Macaca fascicularis: one gene and its partner. The main gene of each other region encodes a partner of the protein of the gene in region 2 in a complex. Links are inferred from orthologs where the notes say so. Each region holds a gene or a part of one and is shown on either strand. Other genes may lie near its edges.

Region 1 (4,586 bases), on a different chromosome or scaffold from region 2:
ATGGAAAAACGAAAATTATGACTGCAGGAGATATCACTACACAAGTGTTGGCAAAGATGTGGAGCAACTGGAACTCTGGTGGGAATATAAAATGGTGACACCGCTTTGGAAAACAGTTTGTCAGTTTGCCAAAAAGTTAAACGTGTTTTCACCGTACAATCTAGCCATTCTAATCCTAGGTACGTACCCAAGAGAAATGAAAGCATTAAGGTCTACACATCTATACAAACCCTTGTAAATAAACATCCATAGCAGCTTTATTTGTAACATACCAAAACTGGAAGCAACCCAAAATGTCCATCAACAGAAGAATGGATAAACAAACTGTGGGATGGCCATAGAATTGAATAGCTATCCAGCATCAAAAAGAAATGAATTATTGATAACACAACAACAGATGGACTTCGAAATAGTCTATGTGAAAGAAGCCAGGCAAAAAAGGGGGTACACACTATATGATTCAATTTATATAAATTTCAAGGAAATGAAACTAATGTATAGTGACAGAAGGTGGATCAGTGCCTGGGAAATGGGGTCTGGGGAGAGGCAGGAGGGAGGAATTACACAGGAGCTGGAGGAACCTTTTCAGGGCAATGGAGCTTTACTATCTTGATTGTGACAATGGTTTATGGGTGTATTCATATGTCCAAAGTTATCAAATCCACTGCTTTAAATATGTGTGGTTTATTGTATGCCATTTATATCTCGAAAAAGCTGTTTTTAAAACACAATGGGAGAATTTTTCATATTTAAAAGGCAGGATATTTAAACTGTATTAAATATATAAGACATGGTACTGAAAGGTTGTATTAGCAGGAGACAAGGTAAGGTGGGGTTTCTTTGGCTGCCTTGCAAAGAGATGCTGAGTAAAGTAGGGGCCAGTGGGCAACGAGGGCAGAACTGCTTGTCTGTCCCCTTGGGTCACCTGAGGGGCATGGGTGGCGGCTGGGTGGAAATGAGGGTGAGAGGAAAGCCGCCGTCGAGGGGCGTGGATGGGAGCTGGGTGGAAACGTGGGGTGAGAGGAAAGCCGCCCCCAAAGAAGGGTCGGGAAGGGGCGGGGACGGCCAACGCTGGGGCCCACGCAGGTTCTTCGTCCTCACTTCCTGACCCTTTCTTACGAGTCTAGGGACCAAACGGATCCATCCCCAGAGCCCTTCTACTTCTGAACACGATGAGCAGTTTATGTTTGAGGGTTTGGGGATGGGGTGTTGTTTTTTCTTTATGTTTTGTTTTTCGTTTTACGTATGAGTTGGGTGGCACAACCCACACGTAAGTTGCAACGTCCAATCAAGAACGAAAATAACCCCTCACAATCAGCGATCGGGAACCAGCTGCCACAAGTGACACAGCCAGGAAACTTCGTCCCTCACACCCCCGCGCGCTCGCGCCTGCCGCAGCCCCACAGCTCGCCCCGCCTCTCTCCTTCCGGAAACAATCTCCGAGGGCGGAAGGCGGGGTCGGCCCTGGCCCCGCCCACAGCGTTTCCCTTCCTCGGCCCAGCCCCGCAGCGCGCAGCCTCGGCAGGGTGGCTTTACGGCCAGAGGAGAGGGTGGGTCCCAGACTTGAGGTAGGAGGCCGAGCTGAGGGGCGGGGAAGAGGCTTTTTGCGGCAGGACGTAAGTGACGGCGAAGGCGGTGCGACAGCAGCTGGAGGGCAGAGGAGGCGGGTTTGTTTCCCGGGCCGAACCGGGTTGTTGGGGGGCGCGGGGCCTGGGCCAGGCGGCAGCTAAGGCCCGCGGTGACAGCATGGGTGAAGGGGAGCGGGGCAGAGGAGGCCTTGGGCTGTTTTGGGCGGCGAGTGGGGGCGAGGGACTGGCGGGTCGGAGTCCCGGGTCCAGGCCGGGGCTCTGACCCGCGGTTGGTGTTCCCCCGACCCCGCAGCGCGGGGTGTCCAGTCCTCGCCATGAGGCCGCAGCAGGCGCCGGTGTCCGGAAAGGTGTTCATTCAGCGAGACTACAGCAGTGGCACACGCTGCCAGTTCCAGACCAAGTTCCCTGCGGAGCTGGAGAACCGGGTACGCAACCTGGCTCCCCACGCCTGCTCTGGCGAGGGAGAGAGACTCACCGGGGACGGGAGGGGTGTGGGCGACAACCGGGCCGTTGAGGATCCAGCAGTTCTGGGGAGGGCCAGGCACAGAAGGGGCCTTGGCCAAAGGTGTAAGAAGAGAGCCACTAAGCAAGACAGGTGTTTGGAGGAGCAAGAATAATATACGCCGATCGCCGGGGTTGACGACCTTATGGAACTTTGTTGCCCGGTGCCGGGAATCTGGATCCAGCAGTCTTCCCCTGCTGCACTCCCTCAAATCCCCACCCCGGGTAATTGTCGGCAGCGTTGAGGAGCCAATTCCTGAGGCTCCAGGCCACCTCAGCCACCAGGTTTTAAGCTATATCTTCCTACCTCTCCGCGCAAGATAAATCATCATCATTCTCATAACTGGTGTTTGCTGCCTCTGTGCTGGCCGCACTGTTTGACTGAAAGGGTTTATTAGGTGCATTGCCAGGCGGTGCATTTAGGCTTTCTTGGAACCTTAAAGACGTAGAGCGTTAGATAGGCCTGGACAGGAAAATATCTCAGAACAAGGCCTTAAACTTATCACATTCACTGGGAGCCACGTGTTTTGTCTTGCATATCAAAATTGCCATCAGGATGTAGGTCCTTTGGGTAACATTGCATGCAAAAATGTAAGAATGGAATTTGCTTCTCCTTCAGACTTAGCAAACGTTTTTTTAAAAAACCATTGTATCTTGTAGAGGTAATGGAGTATGTGCGTGCCTGCCTGTGTTTTTGTGTGCCCACATATGTACACTCAACCAAAGATTCTTTTGGTCTTGACCCATGTCATGTAGATTGTGTTTCCTGTTCAGGGATCAATTTCTGGTTAGCTGGAAGCAGGTTTTGTGGCTCCCTCCTCTGTGACAGGGAGGGCGAGGGCCTGAGAGGTGATTAGGCATTCGTTGGGTGTGGAACTGAGGGATGCTGGTCATGGGATAAGTAGGTGTGGATGAGTCTGTGTAGAGAAATGTGTAGCAGTTATTTACAGACAGTTTACAGTGAGGTGGGTTGCACTGCCTGATTGCCATGGTTGGGAAATCAACAATGATCCATTATAGTTTCCTTCAGTTTGACATAACCATGGGCAGGTTAGTGGCCCAAATATGTTTCTTGAATTGCAAATTGATCAAATATGCCTTTAAAAGATGGTGAGGTGACTTGTTTCTGAAATGCCATTTAAATGCTGCAGTATCTTGTCAACTATGTTATGAGTTAACTCAGCGTGACAGTAGGTGGAACTATCTACAGTGGTTAGAAGAGCTAGAAATTCAGCAAGTGGCCAGTTGGTTAGAGCTACTGAATGTTGTTTTAAAATAATTTAACATCACAGCTGATGTGTTTTACATGTTAAGATTTACATGGAATCAGGCTGGGCGCGGTGGCTCACGCCTGTAATCCCAGCACTCTGGGAGGCCGTGGCGGGTGCATCACTTGAGGTGGGGAATTCAAGACCAGCTTGGCCAACATGGTGAAACCCAATCTCTACTAAAAATACAAAAATTAGTCAGGTGTGGTGGCGGGCACCTGTAATCCCAGCTACTCAGGAGGCTGAAGTCGAAGAATTTCTGGAACCTGGGAGGCGGAGGTTGTAGTGAGCCGAGATCATGCCATTGTACTCCAGCCTGGGCGACAGAGCAAGACTCTGTCTCAAAAAATAAATAAAATAAAAAGATTTACATGGAATCAATCAAATGTTTTATTTTTAAGCCTCTCATGGAGATTATGACATACAATTTTATGTACTTCAAAATCAGAATATAAAGTATTCTTTTTTTACCGCCATTATTTGGACATTAAAGATTCATTTGCTTTAAGGTTTTAAAGCAACACTTACACCTCATATTTGAGCAAATGTGTGTACGCAGAATCAGACATTAGCCTTCCACTCTGTGTGTGGCAGAGCCTTTATTTTGTAACCTAAGTACAAAAGCACAATGTAGTTACAGTGCTCCACTGATTCTTCTCAGGAAATTGATGTTTCTAAATTCTGGAGTCCTTTTACCTCTTTGACTCTGTGTAGCCCAGAACTGCCTGTGGTACTGAGTACTATATGGAATGTTACATGGCACTATTCAATTGTGCCTGTGAATTTCTTTTTTCTTTTTAAATGTTTGGGTTAAAACACTAGCTTATGCTTTAAACCACTAGAAAAGCTTTGATTGTGTGTGTATGGGTCTGTGTGTGTGTGTGTGTGTGTTGAGATTAAATTTAAATTACAGGTTTAAACTTTCCTTGCTTTGATGAAAAATTGAAAGGTTTCTGTTTCTCTACTACTTACCCTAGAAATTTTACTGATTGCTCTGCTGTTGGAGCTGATTTTCTTTTTGTGAGAACATCACACTTGGCAACGTAATAGAGAAAGAGACTAATATGCAAGTGTTCTGTGTTATTTTAAAGCATTTTTTAAAAAATACATACACATTTGTGCCCTTTAATTTGGGAGTAGGATAGGTTCTGTCTGTTAACAAGTTCATTTTCTCTGCTGGCTTTTAGAATGTACTACTTTGATGCTTAAGCGATTTGTTGCCAGAACA
Region 2 (4,346 bases):
TGTGTGAGTGTGTACGAGCGTGTGGCTGCGTGTGCGTGTGGATGTGGCGCGCGTCCCAACCTGCCTGGGGCGGTGGTCCGCGGCGTGGCAGAGGCAGGGCGGGCCTCGCGAGGCCGCGCGCGCGGCCCGGCCCCGATCTCCGCTCTCTGGCCTCCGGCCCCCCGCTGGGGAGCCGGTCGCTGCTTCCCGACGGATTTTGATCTTTGTTCTTCCAGGCCGGCTCCCCGTTCGTGGTCTCCCTTCTCCCGCTGGGCCGGTTTATCGGGAGGAGATTATCTTCCAGGTTAGTTTTACACAAAGGACGGGTTCTCTGCACCTCTGGGCCCCCTTCCCCTTCCCCGAGCCTTCTACCTTCTCATTTCCCTGCTCCGCTCCTAGGCTGTTTTTGGACGTTTGCCCTCTCCAGCCCGGGAATGATCTCGAGTTGGCTGTTTCTCCCTCTGTCCGTCGGGCTGCAGGCTTCCGCCTCAGTCCTGCCAGCGTGGGGCATGTGGTGTCGGTAAATAGAGGCCACAGCACCACACCTGAGCGGAGGAGAAGGGTGGCAGAGGCTGAGAAAGGCTGGGCCTGGGAATTCAGGATGCTGAGTAGAGATGGTACTTAGGACATGTCCCAGAAAGCGCCCTTGTGACTTTTCTTAGCTGCTGCCATTCCCCACCCCCCAACCAGCCATCAGCAGTCACCAACCATTCCAGAATCTCTCCTGCTTAAGTCAGCCTTTCACCTACAGGTCTCTGATGTGGTTTCATTATGATTCCCACAAATGTTAGGCTAGACCAGCCAGATTGTTTCATTTCCCGGACTCAGGAAGTTGCAGAGGGTTTGATGAGGGGAAATCTGTTTTGTGTAAATACAATGCACGTATGTGCACAGAGCGTCCAGAACCTCCCGGCCCTGCCAGAGGGTGACTTGTTCCCTGCTGTGATTCATACTCGAGTGGCTAATTGAAGAAAGAAGGTGAAGTGGAGGAAGGGAGGGAGGCTTTATAAGGACAGAAACTCTACTATTATTTTTAGAGTCCTTTTAATGATGTTGAAAGAACATTGTGGCATAGTGGAACATGCCCTTGACTTGAAGTTAGCAGTATCAGCATTGCTGCTGTGTGGCCCTGGATAAGTTATTTCCTCTCTCTGGTCCTCATTTTACTCATTTACAAAACAAAGTATTAATAATTGGCACGATCACCTATAAAATCCTCTCTAGTTCCAAGGTTCTGTGATGATCAGATCACCAGCATTAGATTGGAAGCATAGAGGCTTATTTAAGAGGAAATACTAGCCCTTTTCCTTATTTGAGAACCTTTAATCATATCTTCTTGTAGAGAACAAACACGAATTGGAAATAAACTTTTCCCCACTTCCCCGTCCCCACCCCTTCAGTCAGTTTTCAACTTTCTGTCTCTGGGAAAGGAGGGTTGAACTGTATTTTTTTTATTCTTGCCTCATTTTTTTTCTTTTTCTGCTTTTTCTTAGGGCTGGCAATTGGACTTTTGATGATGTTTGACCCAGCGGCAGGAATAGCAGGCAACGCGATTTCAAAGCTGGGCTCAGCCTCTGTGTCTTCTCTTGTGTAATCGCAAAACCCATTTTGGAGCAGGAATTCCAATCATGTCTGTGATGGTGGTGAGAAAGAAGGTGACACGGAAATGGGAGAAACTCCCAGGCAGGAACACCTTTTGCTGTGATGGCCGGGTCATGATGGCCCGGCAAAAGGGCATTTTCTACCTGACCCTTTTCCTCATCCTGGGGACATGTACACTCTTCTTCGCCTTTGAGTGAGTTTTGGTTGAGTAGAGTTGCCTGATTATGGTTACTTTGGGTCTAGGGGGAGAACCCGCTTTCTGGGGAGTTTGGGGCTGGTCCTTGGATGACTTTAACATCCTCTTGAGCAATGTCTGTAGATGATGCCAGCTGAATTCATTGCTTCATGGTCATCACAGAGTATGTGCTTCCCCAAAAGACCAATACCTTTGATACCAATTTTGTAGTACTGGTTTGGGGCTATCCTTGATAGACTTGGGAAATAAGGAAGTTTGTCTTAATTACTCACCTCTCCCTTTTAGTGGTCTCCTTAGAAGCTGAATGACAGATGGCCTCCCCTGCACACAAACCTAAGGGCACCCCTCATTGTTACATCACTCAGCAATCCTCACCTATTTTGTTATTCTGGGCCCTGTTTCCTTAAGGCTCAGCTCTCAGCTAGCTGTTACGGTGAAAAGCCGACTGAATTGGGAACCTACGGATTAGTTCCAGCCTCAGCTGGACCACATACTAGTTGTGTGCGTGGCACATACGTGCTTATTAGAAGTGAGTTGCTCTTTCTTTCCCTCAAAATCACTGAATGTAAACAACTCTATATTCTGTGTATGCCTGGTACCAGCCTTGGAGTGATTTTTTTCTGTGGTGTAATACCTTGTACTCGAGCCACTGTTTGAAGTCTGTGTAGGTCTCGTCTCTAGGGGAGGTGGCCGGTTGGATTCTAGGGCACTGTGGCGTGTCTCCTGGGTGTGCTGAGAATGCTCTACACTCTAGGGATGGGAGCAGTGCTAATTGTTTTGGGATTACTGTGAGGAGGCCTTTGAGAGCCAAGAGGTGTGTGTGTGGACTGTAAGCCACACCTGACGTGAGCCTGCTATGGTGTATGTACATGGGTGACCTGGAAATGGAGGCCTCATGCTGGGGTGTGGCCATGGGAGATAGGAGGGGGCACCTTGGCCAGCCTAGTGGGGAAGTAAAGTGAGCTCTGGTCCCTTGGGGCTCATTTTTTTGTCCTTCTGTGAGGGCTTCAGGCTTTCCCAATGCACCCAGAGTGATTTTCGGGCTGCTTTGCCAGACTTTTGGATGGTTGCAGCTGGCTTGAGTAACAGCAGGGGGAGGAGGGGGACCCAGTATATAACGGGGCTGGGAAAGTAAGGTCAGAGGAACTCTTTGTTAAAGGTCTTTTTGCTGCTGCTGCCGCTACTGCTGACTTTGTGAAGTGTTTAGCGAAGTCAGGCAGGTTGCTGAAGGCTTCTTACTTGCTTTCCAGTTTGAGTTTCCTGACTGAGGGTGTGTGCGTGCATGTGTGCATGCACGTGCTTGTGTGTGGTACCAGTGAGCATGTGTAGTCAGGCAGGCATAAGTTCCTAGTATTAAAAATCGTTTTTCCTTCCCCTCACCCTTCTCTCCAAGTTTTCCTTGCCTCATTCCTGCCCTGCTTCTTCTTGGAAGTGAATAGCTGACCTCTGTTCTTTATCATTCTTACTCCCTTTTTCTCTTTGTGTCCCCACCCCCACCCCCATGGTTAAATTTTTATTATTGCAACCATTCCAAACAGAGATGAGCCTTGTTCCCAGGCTTTGAGTTAGTTGGTAGTTCTGGGCCCAGGAAACCTCTGGTTTGACTGGCCAGGGGTACTTGAAATTTGGAGCTATTGCCATTTGTCCCCTTTTGTATCTGGGAGCCAGCAGAAGAATCTTATTGGAATCTGTTCCACTGAGGCCCCTGCAGGCCTCTGAAGAAAACCGCTGGTGGGATGAAGCTTCTAATTAGCCATGTTGCTGTTTGACAGAGCCAGGTTGAGTTTTCCACCATGATGACTTCCCCCTCCCCCCAGGTTGTTTCTTGCATTTTGAAGGGTGAGGTTATTTGTAAAACTTCCTTGAGTACCAGCTGTGTGTGTGAAAGACTAAATATTTTTGAAGATAGGGCTGGAGGAGGGAGTAGTGGGAAGAAGAGGGGAGAAGGAAGTAAATGTGTTAGCAGAGGAGTAGAGTGGGGAGGTGGAAATGTGACCAAAGAGGAGAGGACCCTGGTGATGAATACTTTGTACTGAGAATGGCGGAATTTGTGTTTGTGAATGTGCGTGCTTGTGTATGTGTGTGTGTCTGTCATATATAAACACATAGACACTTTAGGTGGTGGCTGCGTTGTGCCTAGCCAGTGACAGGTGGTACAAGGTACACCAGCATGCCTCTGAGGAATGAAGTCTCCTTCTGGTGGGCCTTTTTCTTTGGCGTCTATAAATTCCTGTCCACCACATAGTGGGGGCACGGTTTGGGGAGCAGAATGTGGGCTGCTTTGTTAGTATTAGAACTTAGCGCAGTGGCTCATGCCTGTAATCCCAGCACTTGGGGAGGCCGAGGCAGGCAGATCACTTGAGGTCAGGAGTTTGAGACCAGCCTGGCCAAATGGTGAAACCCCCATCTCTACTAAAAATACAAAAATTAGCCCCGTGTGGATGTTGTGCGCCTGTAGTCCCAGCTACTCAGAAGGCTGAGGCAGGAGGATCCCTTGAACCTGGGAGGTGGAGGCTGCAGTGAGCGGAGATCTTAGCCTGGGTGACAGAGGGAGACTCTGTCTCAAAAA

Evidence for each region.
Region 1: the proteins of ZDHHC9 (region 2) and GOLGA7 are in contact, whole or in part, in a cryo-EM structure (PDB 8HF3), measured with the Homo sapiens proteins. The link is inferred for Macaca fascicularis from reciprocal best matches to the Homo sapiens genes ZDHHC9 and GOLGA7. Residues at the interface, in NP_001008223.1 of Homo sapiens: Phe78, Ala81, Arg85, Ile94, Pro95, Leu98, Asp100, Glu101, Phe104, Ile105, Phe129, Gln130, Ile131, Asn132, Ile146, Pro149, Pro150, Arg182, Tyr183, Leu186, Tyr274, Lys281, Cys284, Glu285, Leu287, Cys288, Gly289, Pro290, Leu291, Pro292; in NP_001002296.1 of Homo sapiens: Lys11, Phe13, Gln15, Tyr18, Ser19, Ser20, Gly21, Thr22, Ala57, Glu58, Leu60, Ser64, Tyr65, Gly68, Cys72, Ala75, Tyr76, Thr77, Phe79, Leu80, Tyr86, Glu87, Leu90, Ile116, Arg118, Gly119, Arg121, Val122.

What each region holds. Positions count from the first base shown.
Region 1 is NC_088382.1:44,991,248-44,995,833, forward strand, and holds the start of GOLGA7 (golgin subfamily A member 7), read left to right. Parts: upstream 1-1,559; 5' UTR 1,560-1,616; intron 1,617-1,628; exon of another isoform or gene 1,629-1,881; 5' UTR 1,882-1,903; coding exon 1,904-2,014; intron 2,015-4,586. UniProt on the Homo sapiens protein: May be involved in protein transport from Golgi to cell surface. The ZDHHC9-GOLGA7 complex is a palmitoyltransferase specific for HRAS and NRAS.
Region 2 is NC_088395.1:136,113,109-136,117,454, reverse strand, and holds the start of ZDHHC9 (palmitoyltransferase ZDHHC9), read left to right. Parts: upstream 1-1,521; 5' UTR 1,522-1,607; coding exon 1,608-1,774; intron 1,775-4,346. UniProt on the Homo sapiens protein: Palmitoyltransferase that catalyzes the addition of palmitate onto various protein substrates, such as ADRB2, GSDMD, HRAS, NRAS and CGAS. The ZDHHC9-GOLGA7 complex is a palmitoyltransferase specific for HRAS and NRAS.